Linked DNA regions of Arabidopsis thaliana. The protein of the gene in region 1 interacts with the protein of each later gene in a pairwise test. Each region holds a gene or a part of one and is shown on either strand. Other genes may lie near its edges.

What was found.
Region 2: the proteins of AT1G14670 (region 1) and RBL2 interact in a protein complementation assay, tested with the Arabidopsis thaliana proteins (one large-scale study listed by BioGRID).

The regions. Positions count from the first base shown.
Region 1 is NC_003070.9:5,034,487-5,042,082, reverse strand, and holds AT1G14670 (Endomembrane protein 70 protein family), read right to left. Parts: upstream 4,508-7,596; 5' UTR 4,415-4,507; coding exon 4,263-4,414; intron 3,984-4,262; coding exon 3,943-3,983; intron 3,835-3,942; coding exon 3,249-3,834; intron 3,173-3,248; coding exon 3,035-3,172; intron 2,925-3,034; coding exon 2,768-2,924; intron 2,673-2,767; coding exon 2,188-2,672; intron 2,104-2,187; coding exon 1,884-2,103; 3' UTR 1,486-1,883; downstream 1-1,485. Other genes in the region: AT1G14680 (early endosome antigen), read right to left, coding at 350-1,222; NHX8 (Na+/H+ exchanger 8), read left to right, coding at 5,644-5,863, 5,960-6,010, 6,079-6,170, 6,246-6,323, 6,409-6,566, 6,649-6,750, 6,830-6,947, 7,033-7,085 and 3 more.
Region 2 is NC_003070.9:23,407,296-23,414,424, reverse strand, and holds RBL2 (RHOMBOID-like 2), read left to right. Parts: upstream 1-3,285; 5' UTR 3,286-3,699; coding exon 3,700-3,974; intron 3,975-4,513; coding exon 4,514-4,677; intron 4,678-4,790; coding exon 4,791-4,954; intron 4,955-5,020; coding exon 5,021-5,371; 3' UTR 5,372-5,621; downstream 5,622-7,129. Other genes in the region: AT1G63130 (Tetratricopeptide repeat (TPR)-like superfamily protein), read right to left, coding at 1-1,571; AT1G63110 (GPI transamidase subunit PIG-U), read right to left, coding at 6,668-6,760, 6,953-7,009, 7,104-7,129. UniProt on the Arabidopsis thaliana protein: Rhomboid-type serine protease that catalyzes intramembrane proteolysis. Can cleave the Drosophila proteins Spitz and Keren. May function in pollen elongation.

The DNA of each region.
Region 1 (7,596 bases):
GATGAAGAAGCCAATTAGAGACTTATATTGTACAAAACAGATGGTAAAAACACAACCACATTGGTTAGCACACTAATGGTCAAATGAATTATACTAGTGGTAGAGGTAGACCATTATGGAAATGTATAATTTTTAAAATTCAGTGTTTCCAATGTGAGAGAGAATGTTCCAAGTCTCATATTTTATACATATTGCATTGTGCTTATAGTCAGAGCTTGTCCCTCACAAACATTCCATTACTGTTTTCTCTACCAATCTAAACAATAGCCAGAACTGCTCATTCATATTCATAATAATTACCAAAAGAGATTCAAACAAAACCACTCATCAGCATTGGATCTAAACTTCATCAATCGATAAATTCTTGGCTGCTCAATTCAATCCTCTTCTCAATCGGACTACTCATCATCTTGATACTCTTTCTCTTGTTGAACTTGTTAGATCCATGGCTTCTCTCTGCAGAACATTGCCTCAAAAACTTGCGGTTTTCTCTATCCAGCTCTCTGTTTTGCTCGCTCACAAGTTCAACTTCTTGCTCTGCTTTAGCAAGATTCATAATGAGACATTCTTTCTCCTTTTCAATTCTCTTCACCATTGACACTAAAGACACAAACTTTTGCGTCGTTGGCTTTAACTGATCCCATTTCCTCAACAAAGTTTCACAACATTTGTCTTCTTCACTATTAGCCTCCAAGAAGATACGCCCCAATGATATACTCTCATCTTTACTAACGAACGATGCCAATATTGAATCAACCAAACAATCTTCTTCAGATTCGATCCGGCTCTTGATTTCATCAGACATTTTTCTAACTTCTTCCTCCAATTCACGAACCCTAGATTCTGCTTCTCTAGCCCTTTCGTCAGTTTCGTTCCCGAACTCCATGAGTGATTCACGATCTTGATGATAAAGAAAGCATTCTTTTTCCCACTTCTTACACTGATTCACCAAATCCTCGCGCTCGCTTCCCAATTTCTGATTCTCTTCGACGAATTTCTTCAGCGACTGGGCATTCATACTCGCTTCGGATCTAACGAGATCGATTACTTTTTCTTTCTCTTTCAATCTCGAAACCAGAGATAGATACTGTTCACGGAGACGACGCTGAGATTCTTCCGCCGTGTAGAGCTTTTTCTGGAGAACGTCCATGGATATCGGAAGCCCTAAAGAGTGATCGATTGTCTCTTTGATAAAGTCATCGACTTCTCGCGAGAGATCCATTTAGAATCAACAAGAAATCGCAGACAGAGTTCGCTCGCTGAAGAACTCTAGGGTTTCTGAATTCCAAAGGAGGAGGATTCGAATTTCAAAATTGAAATCAGTGGCACTAATTATTGGTCAATGAAACCATTTATAGTTGGGCCGAGATTTTGGCCCATTAAAGAGCTAACACTATGTCCTTGTATGTCGGTGGTATCAACCTTGGATCTTTCAATTGGATCCAAACAAGTACAAAAATATGCAATTTACTTCAATTTAGCTCTCCAATATTTATTTAGTTACATCTTCAAATTATTATTTTTATTGTGCAGTATAGACTGAAGATATATATGAAGGAGAAAATATGTGTGTTTTGAAATTTATTAGATACAAAGAAACTCGAATTCAAAGGTATTGATAGTCTTTTACAATAGGTAAAATATATAGAAAGGATACAAGTAATTTAATTTCTGTAGCCCAAAATAAAGAGAGAAGAAGAGAGACTCTCGCTAAAACCTCTAATGAGAAGAGATGCTTCTTTAGAAAATAATCAGACATTGTCTTTGTGTCTCTCTTCTTTCTAACAACCTATCTCTTTATCTTCTTTGTTCTAAGCAAAATTCGTAAGAAGGCAGAAGAAGAAGAAGGAAATCAACATAAGAAGATTGGTGTACAGACCTTCTTACTCGCATTTGATCGACCGGTAAATGTGACGGACAAAGAGGAGGGCTGCGCGGAAGCCAACTGTTCCGAGCATTAAGAAGAATCCGTAGCAAATGCAAGCCATGTATCCGAAGAAAAACGAGGTTTGCATAAAACCCGACATGTCTGATCGTGCGTAGTAATAGTATAAGCAGTATGCGTAGATAAACAAACCGGTCGATCCACCACATAGGAATGATCTGCAATAGAAATTTGTAGAATCAGACTCAAGTTCTCATGGTCAGAGAGAAAAGAATAGAGACGATTAGCTGAGTTTAACGAACCTCCACCACCATTGGTGATCTTCAGCAGCGAGTTGGAAGTAAGTCAAGGCAACGGTTATAAAAGCAGTGACGATGATGAGAATGATGAAAACGATGAATAAGATGCTGTAGATGGTGTAGATCCGGTGACCCCAGACACTAGCGAAAATGTAGTAAAGCTCGATGTAGATGGCACTGAAAGGAAGAAAACCAGCCATGGCCATCTGAGGAATAGCACTTCTGTACCAAGGGAGTGGTGGAATCTCACGAGGATATTTGGTTGTACGGCATGGTGCTTGGAACTCTGCTTTGCTGTTTTTACCCGCGATACCACCCAAAACGAGTAAAGGTGAGGTAACTAGAGTCCATATAAGGACGATCACCACAATGGTTCCAAAGGGTAATGCAGCGGTTGCAGTGTAGGTGATGGCTACGGTGTTAAGGAAGCAAAAGGTTAGGAATAATGGGCCACAGAAGAGACATCCAGTGAGTAACAAGTTCCTCACCTGCAATAATGTCAAAAAAGGGAGAAGTTGTTTATTTCAGTTGAAGATGATTTTTTGAGAGACAGGGATGATTCTCATCATGTGTAAATATTTACCCAGCTTTTTCCTTCAAGTTGACAGTAGAAAGAGGCAGATGTGTATCCGGCAATTCCAGAAGTGAGAGCGTAAATGACCACCAAAGCGGTAAAGAGTGCTCCTCGGTTGTATGGGTAGAACACTCCAACAAGAGCAAGCATGAAAATAAATATGGTGCTGATGACATGGAATAAAAGGAAAAGCTACAGTTAGTTACAGTAAGAAGAAATGCGGATATGGATGAAAGTGTATCCAGATGGAAAGTATTCGAGTTATGAGAGACTTACAGCGTGAACAATTGAGTGCCACTACCGAGCGATGCAGCAAATAAAGAATTGTGAGTAGGGAACCGAAACACATCGCCATGAATGTACTTCCATCCAGTTTCCTCTTGATCATCAGCAGCTTCCTCATCTTGAGCATACCTTTTAAGCATTGGAATAAGGTTAGATGAGATAGACAAGTGTAAAACAGTCGACAGTGAGGAAACTTGAAACTTACTTCATGAAATCGTTCTTGAGGACTCGCATCAAGATAGTTGCAAGGAATCCAGTCAAAAGAAGGACAGTGACACAGGAGTTAATAATGGAGAACCAGTGGATTTCCAAATGATGTGGAAGAGAAGAAGACATAGAGTACTTCTCCATTCTTTTCTCAAAAGGAGTCTCAGTTTCCTTCCACTTCACAGTGTACATAAACTCTGCATCAACTTCCTTATCCTCAGTGAGATCCACAAGCGAATGAGGATCCATTCTAGCACTGATCTCGATCACACGGTCCTTATTGTATAGAATCTCAAACTGAATGTGCTTGTACAAGAAATATTTGAATTCACTCGGATCAGATTTGATATCCTTGTCAACCTTTCCAATGAATCCCCAGATAGGTAGATCATCATAGTACATCTGGAAGTAGTAGTCCTTCTCAACAGCTTTTCTGAACTGTTTGACCTCTTCTTTACTCAACTTCTTGTTGCAGTATACCTCAGACTCTTTTTCATCTCTGAAGTTGAGCTTGTATGGAGCGCTAACTAGCCGATCCCCGTTTAGAACCTCGCCAAGAGCTTCCTTCTTCTCTTTCACACCCTCTATAAACCATATTCAATAATGGGATGATCGAATCAGGAGATGTCACACAAATCAGTTGCGGCTTAAACACAAATCGTGTGATTAAGCTAGTAAAGATATAAGCATACCTGGGATACAGAAGGGAAGATCAAAATATCGATACGTCTCACTGCAATCATCATTGAACAAAACCAAAATCAGTCATATAATAGTATTCAAATCTAAGACAGATCCATCACATAAACGAAAAACATTCCAAATGTAGTTTCTTCTTTCACTCTTTGGTTTTAACATTACGCATTTTGCAGTGTACTCAGTTATCAATGTCGTTACTCAATTCAATAGCAACAGATTCAACAATAAACGATCAATTTATCATCCTCAGGCTTAAGAATGGGAAACAACCTCAGATCTGAAGCTCAGATCTAGAATAGATGTTTCCGTTTACCTTGGATTGTGAAATGGGCCGACCTTGTTGGCGTAGAGAGGAACGGTGTCTCCTTCCTTGTAACGGTGGTCGGAGGCGTCGGATCTGACATAGCCGGCGCCGGAGAAGAGGATAGCTCCGACAAGAAGGAGAATCGTCGTCGGTGTCCTCATTGCGTATTCTGCTCAAATCGTGAGATCTGAGTAACTTTTTTTATTTGGGAGAAGAGGGAGAAAAATGGAGGAAATAACGACAATATTTATATACCAAAGACTTCAATCAAACTCGAGTCAGCTACACAAATTTTAATATTTTTATTATTTTCTCACTTTATTTCATAAGAAAAATACATAAAAAAACTATAGTCAATAATACTTTATACCATTTCCAACCATAAAAATAAATATCAATGTCTATAAATTCATAAATATATGGCTTTTGAAACCAAGACTAATTATTTATAACAAATGTGAGTGGCATTTAACAAAATACAAATCATTTTCCCATATGTAGGCTAATTAAACCAAAAAAAGAATATGTAGGCAGTGAGCGAACTAATTGTTCTGCCAAACCTATGTATCTTATAGTGTTTTTTTTCCTTGGGTCGAAAATCTTATCGTATTAACACTTCATAAATTTTGAATAGTTAAATTATTACTTCTTTGTATTAGATGTGGAGTGGAGTGACTATTTTTTTAATATCTTTTGTGGTTATAGTATAGTGAATATGAAGAATGACGAATGATGTTACACGAGACCAAGTTTTTGAAAAAAAAAATATATGAATCTGATAATCATTTTTCCTTTACGTGCGTTATCGTACGTAATTGCTTTGCATGATCTCACGTCATGACAGCAATTATAGAAACTAAACAATTTAAAATTCTCATTTATACACAACGTGCATCGTTTTGAGGCATGGATAATTTAAGGTTTTCGATTTATAGATTGAATCAGCAAGAAATTACAATGTAGCCACTTATACCAAAAATAAAATCAAACAATTTGAACAAGATACATTGAAGTATGGATCAAAACAAACAAACAAAAGTGACACTAGTTAAGTTTAGAGACTAGAGTGAGTCGGTTTTGTTATTTCATAATTTGGTTCATGTAAATATATGTACCCTTCATTTGAACAGAGTAGTATAATCCAGTAACTACATTCATATCTAGCAAAGAAAACAGAAACCTAATCAAAAACGTATTAAGATTTCTCAAATTTTCGTTCAAATTAGTGATAGAAAACCAGACGTAACCGAAATAAAACAGGTCAAGCCAAACCAGACTAGATTCAATCTTGGTTCACTCTTAAACGAAGCAGATTCGGTTCGGTAAAAGCATCTTTGACCGTAATCACTGGCAAAACGAAAGATTGATCGTTTGCTTCTTTCTACCGGAGATGACGAGTATAATCGGCGCGGCGTTGCCGTACAAATCACCGGAGAAAGCAATTGCATCTTCTTCGTATTCAGCTGAGAACGATTCGAGTCCTGTTGATGCTGTTATTTTCGCGGGAACTTCGCTGGTTCTCGGCACCGCTTGTAGATATTTGTTTAACGGCACTAGAGTTCCGTACACCGTCGTTCTTCTCGTCATCGGCATTTTTCTCGGATCCCTAGGTCTTATTTGTTTGCTCATTAAGCTTTATAGCTCAGTTTCAATTTCGTGGAAGATTTTAGAAAGTAGTTAAATTTTGGATTTTTTTGCTTCTGTAGAATATGGAACTAAGCATAACCTTGGGAAGCTCGGCCATGGAATTCGTATCTGTAAGCTACTGTATTTTCTCTTCTCCATACTGTTAGATTACGAGCTCTAAAAAATGGCAACTTTACAGGGAATGGTATCAACCCTGACCTACTTTTGGCTGTTTTTCTCCCTGTTCTTCTTTTCGAGAGCTCATTCTCCATGGATGTGCACCAGATCAAGGTTTTTACTTTCCTGATTGAGCTACTTCCTTGGCTGTGTTGGTTCCTGGTATTGATTGTTTTACATCATTGGTAGAGATGTATGGGACAAATGGTTCTGCTTGCTGGACCTGGAGTTCTGATTTCCACCTTTTGTCTCGGAGCTCTTATAAAGGTACTTTAACTAGCTTCAACATTTTCGACTGTGATTAAGTGAGCTTCAATTAACTTAACAATTTTTTCGAGTTATGCTCTTGTAGCTTACTTTTCCATATAACTGGGACTGGAAAACATCATTGTTGCTTGGAGGACTTTTAGGAGCTACCGACCCCGTGGCTGTTGTTGCTTTGCTAAAGGAGCTTGGTGCTAGTAAGAAGATGACCACGTTAATTGATGGGGAATCTCTCATGAACGATGGGTAACCATGTCAAACTCTTATGTTTAGCATCAAGGTGATGTTATGTCATATATGATCAAGCTTAGTTGTTTGGATTATTCAGGGTATCGGTTGTGGTTTTTCAATTATTCTTCAAGATGGTGATGGGGCATAACTCTGATTGGGGTTCCATAATCAAATTTCTTGTCCAAAACTCATTCGGAGCGTATGGATTATTTTCCTTTGTTAGTAGTATTGTATGTCGCTGTCTTCTTTTCTCCGCTTATGTTGTTCTGGTTTTTTAGTGTAGGCATTGGTCTAGCTTTTGGAATTGCATCAGTTTTTTGGCTTAAATTCATATTCAATGACACGGTGGCTCAGATCACTGTAACACTTTCAGCGAGCTATTTCGCCTATTACACTGTATGCTCTTCTCTTCTACATAACTTAGTCCCCAATGGAGAATCTTAAATCTCTAGGAAACCTAAGAAATTTCTACTATGTACAGGCTCAAGAGTGGGCTGGGGTTTCTGGAATTTTGACTGTCATGATTTTGGGGATGTAAGTCGTGGTAAATTATCCCTTCTTTCTGTTGTTATGTGTCAAAAAGCCATTGTTCATAACATAATTGTAATAGGTTTTTCGCTGCATTTGCAAGGACAGCTTTTAAGGGGGACAGTCACCAGAGTCTGCATCACTTCTGGTATTTCACAACTCAGTGTTCTTTTTTCGTCAAATCAAAGGAAATCTTTACATGTATATATTATATTTTTATGATTGCCCTATAACTTTTGTAGGGAAATGGCCGCTTACATTGCAAATACACTAGTTTTTATGCTCAGGTACGAACTGTCTGGCAAGATTCGAAAACAAAAATTTACTGGTTATTTTACAAACAAAATACTGCAGACGATGTTTTAGCCGATACCTGATTGATACAAGATCATTGCATGTGTGTCTCTTGTGAATTGCAGTGGAGTTATTATCGCTGAAAGCGTTCTTAGCGGTCAGACAATATCTTACAAAGGTGTCTCTTCACAATTTATTATTCTACGTCCGGATTTTTTTTTTA
Region 2 (7,129 bases), about 18 Mb from region 1:
AATAGATCCCACCCATCTTCCACCTTCCCTGCCTTGCACATCCCTTCAATCATAATATTATATGTGTAAATATCAGGTTCCATTTTACTCCTTTGCAGATACTCAAACACCACCAATGCTGTCTCTACCTTCCCATTATTACAAAGCCCATCTAATAAAATGCTGTATGTCATAATATCGGGAAGCACACCATCAGAAACCATCTGTTTGAAAACTATTTGGGCATTATCACACTCTCTAGCTTGAAAAAATCCATGGATAAGAGTGGTGTAAGTGACTGTGTTGCCAACCAATCCTCTTTGAGACATCTCGCGGAAGAGTTCCATACCTTCGTCTACTCTCTTAGCCTTACAAAATCCCTTTATAAGAGTATTGTAAGTCACTACGTTTGGGAAACAGTCCTTGCTAATCATCAACTCAAACATGTGCTTGGCCTCGTCTAAACGATCGTGCATACAAAACCCATTGATCAGTGAACTATAAGTGAAAATATCAGGATCTATAGACCTTTTGATCATCTCGTCGTACAATTTCTCAGCCTCTACAAGCTTCCCCTCCTTCACAAATGCATCAATCAATGCGCTGAAAGTGACTACATTTGGATTGATTTTCCTCTCAATCATATCACTGAGTAGTCGAGAAGCATCACTCCATCTTCCGTAATTACAAAGGCATCTTATGAGGGAGTTGTAGGTAACAACATTTGGTCTAATTCCTTTGTTATCCATTTCAGTGAACAGATTGAGTGCATCATTCACGTTTTTGTAGTTGCAAAGAGCATCAATGATAGTGTTGTAGATCACAACACCAGGCTCTATTTTCCCTTGTTCCATCTTCTTTAACAAACTCAAAGCCAAATCAATATCACCTCTCTTACATAATCCATTTACTACAATACCATAAGTAACCAGATCTGGTTGACAACCTTTCACAACCATCCGGTCAACTAAAGCCACTGCTTCTGAAGCTCTGTTGTGGCGAAAAAGTCCATGAATTAGAGTGTTGAATGTGAATGAATCGGGCTGATATCCCATTTCCACCATCTGACCAACAAGAGATACGGCATCTGAAATCCTATTCCCGTGACAGAAACCATTGAGCAGAGAGTTAAGCGTGACAATATCGGGCTCATAGCCGAGTTTCATCATCTTGGCAAGAACAGCTAAAGCAAGAGAGAGCTGAGAGCGTCGGCAGAAACAGTTGATGAGAATACTGTATGTGTAAAGATTATGTGAAATTCCCAAATTTTGCATCTGCTCGCCGAGAGAGATGACAAGATCGAACTTGTTCATCTTAGCAATGGCACTCAACAGTTTACTGAACTCAACAATCGAAGGGAAAGGACGAGACTTGACCATGTCACCGAACAGATTAACCGCATCATCTAGCTTCAAATCATTTAGCCTATTTATCGATATTTTTCTGTAATCATATCTAACACCAGAGAAATCTCGTACCCAGAAACTGCAATGGCTAAAGGAAGGAGGAGCAGTTCCACATTTACCTTTTCCGAGAAGACTCCGATGAACAAATCTGTTTCCCGTCGATGAAATCGCAAACAATCTCCTCATCTTCAGCTGATTGGGGTTTCTTCCAAAATCACTGATTCAGAATCGTAAACTCTCTGTAAACTTGTATAAACCCTAAATGATGAACCTTTTGCAGACAGAGAGAGTAAAGGTTTGAACTTTTGGTTCTACCAAACCAAACAGAGAGAGAGACTCACATAGGCTGAGAGAGTGAGAGTGATATTCATCCAGTTTCGCACCACCGTTGGATCATTTGACCGGTCAAGATTTCATCTTATCATTTTTATCACCGGTTTGGTTTATAATCACATAATGTATTTTTTTTTGGTTTAGTTCTAAATTGAAAGGCCAGCATTAGCAAATAAATATGAAAAAAACAAAGAAGATTATCAAGTTTTGCTATTTTGGTTCCATATTTGTCTAACTATATTTCCTTCATTTTTTTTTTTATTGCTGAGATGTCCCTTTCTAATTAAGGTGAAACCGCGTGGACCTTACCAATTTATATCTTGGATTGTAAAGATCTATATCTGTTTGGTTCCACTTGTATATGATACAATGATACAATACAAGTTTGGTCATTATCATTTTTTCTAATCATATGTCAACAAAACCAAAGTATGCATTCATTTTGCAAAATATACACATCTATTTGTATCACCTCCCAAACATTTCTCCCATTATACGGACTTGGACAAGTATTCATACCTCTGCAAAAGTCTTATTGATAAATGAATGTGAAAGTACATACAATTGGTTTAGAACATTAAACACGAGTTTGGTTTGGACACATGGCTTTCATATACTCCTTAGTGATAAATTATGGTTAATTATAACCATCTTTGAAGTTTATTCTAATATTTTATTTATTAATTTCATTGATATGGTTTCAAACGTCAAGGAATATTAAACCTTTTACGAAAAAATTTCGGGTGGATCATATAATATCTTCCCTTCAATCCTCAAAGTTCTCGAACTCTACCAATACCTACAAGGCTACAAAAATTTATACACCATTGAAATATGCTGCAACGAAGTCCATTTAAGGCCTGATGATAAATTCCTTGGAGATCGACAATAATATCCAAGCGATTGTTAGTGAGATTATAGAGTTAGTCTTTGTTGGATTCAATAGTTTGTTCCACAATGTAAAAGTCGACTATTCTAAAGAAGCCCTTGGCAACTTATTAAATCTTATAAATAGTTAAATATCGAGACCGTAGAACCTTTTGCTATATATAGTTTTTCGTCAGAAAAAAAAAGTCTTCATGCTAGAGAAAAAAAAGTTTAACTTATAAATACCATGCTATAATTAAAACAAAATAACACGTACTACAAATAGTACTAGCTTATATTTTCTCTCTTTTTTAATAATTAATTTTCTAAAAAAATACATATCTTAAGAAAATATTATTAAAATTAATTATGAATATATTATTTTTTGTGTTTTATATTTTTTTATAATTAAAAATCAATAATATTTAATTATTTATCTTGAAATTTGATATTCATCAATAATATCTAATTAATATTGCAAAAAAATCTAGAAATCCATCTTTTAAAAACACTTTTTTGTATAAAAAAAAATAAAAAAATAAAACCCTTTTTGTAAAAAATTCAATTAAGAAAAAATAAAAGGAGTATATGTTTTATCTTCTCTTTTTACTTTAACAAAATACCTTGTTTTTTTGTTGTTTTCAAGTTATATATTTTGTAATCTTGTCGCAGGTCTGAGTTGTTTTTTGCACTCAGAAAAGAAACTTGTACTAAAACCTAGGAGAGGAGGAGCTGGCACCACCGCCTAACTCGCCATTGACACAACACCAAAAACTCTTCTTTACTTTTTGTTATTCTACACACATCGATAAAGATTAAGAACATAATTAATAGAATTCCATAAATAATTAGATGCACTAACTTTTCAACATCAATTCAACGGTTTAAATTCGTGAAAAAGCGTTTTTATTTTATTTTAATGGTTACAACTTTGTAGTTTTTACCCTAAATCTCTCTCTGATTACTGATACTCTGTCTCAATCTCTTCTTTCTTCTAATCCTTTATTTCTTGTAAGCTACTTCTCCTGAATTTCGTATTTGATCCGTTTAATCCAAGTTTCGATTTTATATAACAACCACATAGACAGAGAGAGAGAGAGAGAGAAACAGAGTAATGGCGAACAGAGATGTGGAGAGAGTAGGGAAGAAAAACAGAGGAGCTAATAACAATTATTTCTACGAGGAGTCTTCTGGTGAAACTCATTGGACTTCATGGCTGATTCCGGCGATTGTAGTGGCAAATCTCGCTGTCTTTATCGCTGTTATGTTCGTTAATGATTGTCCTAAGAAAATCACCGGACCTAACAAAGAGTGTGTTGCTAGATTCCTCGGAAGATTCTCGTTTCAACCACTTAAAGAGAATCCTCTCTTTGGTCCTTCTTCTTCAACGTAAGTATTACTTTAAAGTTGGAGATTCATGTTTCATCTTCTGGGTATCTCCAAAGTCTCAAACTTTTTGGGAGTCCAATTCGCAATTGAATTTGATCACTATTGTCTGTTCTTATGGAAATTGAGCTCAAAGTTTTCATTTTTCTGCAGTAATTAAGATTACCCAATTAGTGCCTTACTGATAACGTCAATGAATTTGTAGTTGAAGCTCGAGATTCTAGAATTTGTTAATCTAAGTTACTGGCAAACAAGTTTGATCTTTTGGGTACCTAAAACGTCTCAATTTTTTTTGTTTTCAACAAACTGAAAAAGTCTCAATTTTTGTGTTTTCAACTTGGCAATTGAATTTGATCTTTATTGTCTGTTAGTGGCTTGGAACATGAGCTCAAACTTGTAGGGTTTCTCAAAGTTTTTATTTTTCTCCTGGAATTATGTATTTAGCTTGGTTTGGAATTATGATTTGTAAATTTCATTGGCAATTATTGTAGTGATGGTGTTTGTGATTGATTTGGTTTTACTCGGATATGTACTTGTATCAGATTGGAGAAAATGGGAGCATTGGAATGGAGGAAAGTAGTACATGAACATCAAGGATGGAGACTTCTCTCTTGTATGTGGCTTCACGCTGGTATCATTCATCTTCTTACAAACATGTTGAGTTTGATCTTCATTGGTATCCGCCTTGAGCAGCAATTTGGCTTCAGTAAGTCTTACCTTTACGTGTACAAGAATTATTGTTCAGTCAAGTTTTAGACTCTCTTTGTTTAATCGCCAAGTGAAACATTTGATCTTTATCGCGGGAATGTTACTGTGCAGTAAGAGTCGGGTTGATATACTTAATATCGGGTCTCGGTGGAAGCATACTTTCGTCGCTTTTCCTTCAAGAAAGTATCTCTGTTGGTGCTTCGGGTGCTCTCTTTGGACTTCTTGGAGCAATGTTATCTGAACTTCTTACCAATTGGACTATCTATGCCAACAAGGTACTTATGCCCTTTTCGCTATACGCGCCTTAACCGGAACTTAGGATTAACGGCTTCTTTTGGCAGGCGGCTGCTCTGATCACACTTCTGTTCATCATCGCAATCAACTTAGCATTAGGCATGCTTCCTCGGGTTGACAACTTTGCACACATTGGAGGGTTTTTAACCGGATTCTGCCTCGGGTTTGTCCTCCTTGTCCGACCTCAGTACGGTTGGGAAGCTTCCCGCACCAACACTTCGCGAACCAAACGAAAGTATAGCATGTACCAGTACGTGCTGTTTGTAGTTTCAGTGGTGCTACTTGTGGTTGGGCTAACGGTTGCATTAGTGATGCTTTTCAAAGGAGAGAATGGGAACAAACATTGCAAATGGTGTCATTACCTTAGCTGTTTCCCAACTTCTAAATGGACCTGCTAATCATCATCATCATCATCATAATCATATAGTAAAAGCTTTTATATGTGTTCTTGTTAACATTTAATCTCTTTGATCTCTCTAGCCTTTGATTATTTATATATGTGTACATTACCAAATTCGTCTTGTGTAAAAGGGGATAGAAATAAAAGAGTGTATTATTTTTACATTTGAACACCATATTTCTCAAACTGTCTTTAAGTACATAAATAGTAAACAATTTTATTAATGTAAAACATAAGCTGTAATTGGAAATAAATTCCTTTAATTTGGTTATAGTACACACTTTATAGTATCCATCTTAGGTCTTGTAGATTATTATTCTTCCTTTGCTTCAAATTCTTCTTTCTCTAGATCTCTTTCTTCTTGAGTTTAACATGATAGCCATTTGGAAATTGCAATCCAGGAGTTCGAAGTATATTTCCTCCACTAGTTTCTTCCCATCTGATGAAATCCAAGAAACAAAATTACAAAATCAAGAACCATTAGTTGTCTTAACTTAACAGATGAAAAAGGAGTAGTTTCAAACTGTATTTTGTGACTGAGCTATGAAGGAAAACTGCAGTTTGAAGTTTGAACTTTGCTGAAGTCAGCTCCGATACACAACCGCATTCCATCACCAAACGCCATGAAATTCCATCACCACACGCCATCAATACAATATATAATACCAAGATATGCAATCATGCATACATCAGCTTCATGCAATATATGCATAATTTTTAGGAGATTTCAGATGTCACAAGATCGAATTGAACATATATTTTCAACAGTGTGAAATACAGTTATACGGTTAGGGTCTGATTTTTGTTTTTGGTACCACGTGGGTTTTACAAGTTTTTATGATATTACAAATAAATTAATAATGCATCACACTTCATTTATTGTGAATGGGTGACTTTTAAGAAAACAATGACCAAACACCACCCAATAACCTTCCTGCACTGTGTCATTTAGGCCTTAATGGTGCAGTGGATAAGGATAAAGTACGGGACATAGACAATGCCTTTAATCATCCACCATTCACAAATGATAATACCTTGTATACATGCGATGTAACTTCAAATATAGGGATGATTGTGTGCTTTGCGGATCAAAACAAGAACTTTAAAACCTCTCGGTAAAAAGTACAAATTAATGGTTACTCTAAACGGAAAGGCACAGGAGATTTGTTATTTATATGATGTTCTCAAACAAAGAAAAGCTACTCACACAAATCACATGTTGCCAACTTTAAGCTAAAGACCCAACTCTTTTCTTTACGTGTAACAGAAAAGTGGCGCAATGACCTTCAATGGCTTAGCTCTTGACTTCTCGATGGTTTGAGTTTGATCTCTTCAGCGCCCTGTCATGGTTTAGCATTGCGCTTACGCTCTCAACCACGAAAACGATCTGTAAAGAAAAGCAGAAACCCGTATGCGGGTTTTAGTCAAGATAACCCAAAACTACAACATTCTTTGATCAATAACTGATGATCTCATCATCCTCTGCTTGATATCATCAAATTTTGTACTATATGAGTATCAACTCCCAACTACTGAATAGAATAATGAATTTTGAAATGGATCCAGGCCTATATTTTACCTGAAAGCACGCGTAGCCGATAGCGTTTCCAAAGTAGAAATTTGCATTTCCGGTTCCCTGTCATGAAAAAATCAAAGGTAGTTGTGATCATTAGAACATTTTGTTGCAACTGCTGTGAAGAGTTGGGTTATGGATTTGAGTAGAAGCTTACCCGCCATATCCAGAGATTGTGCATCA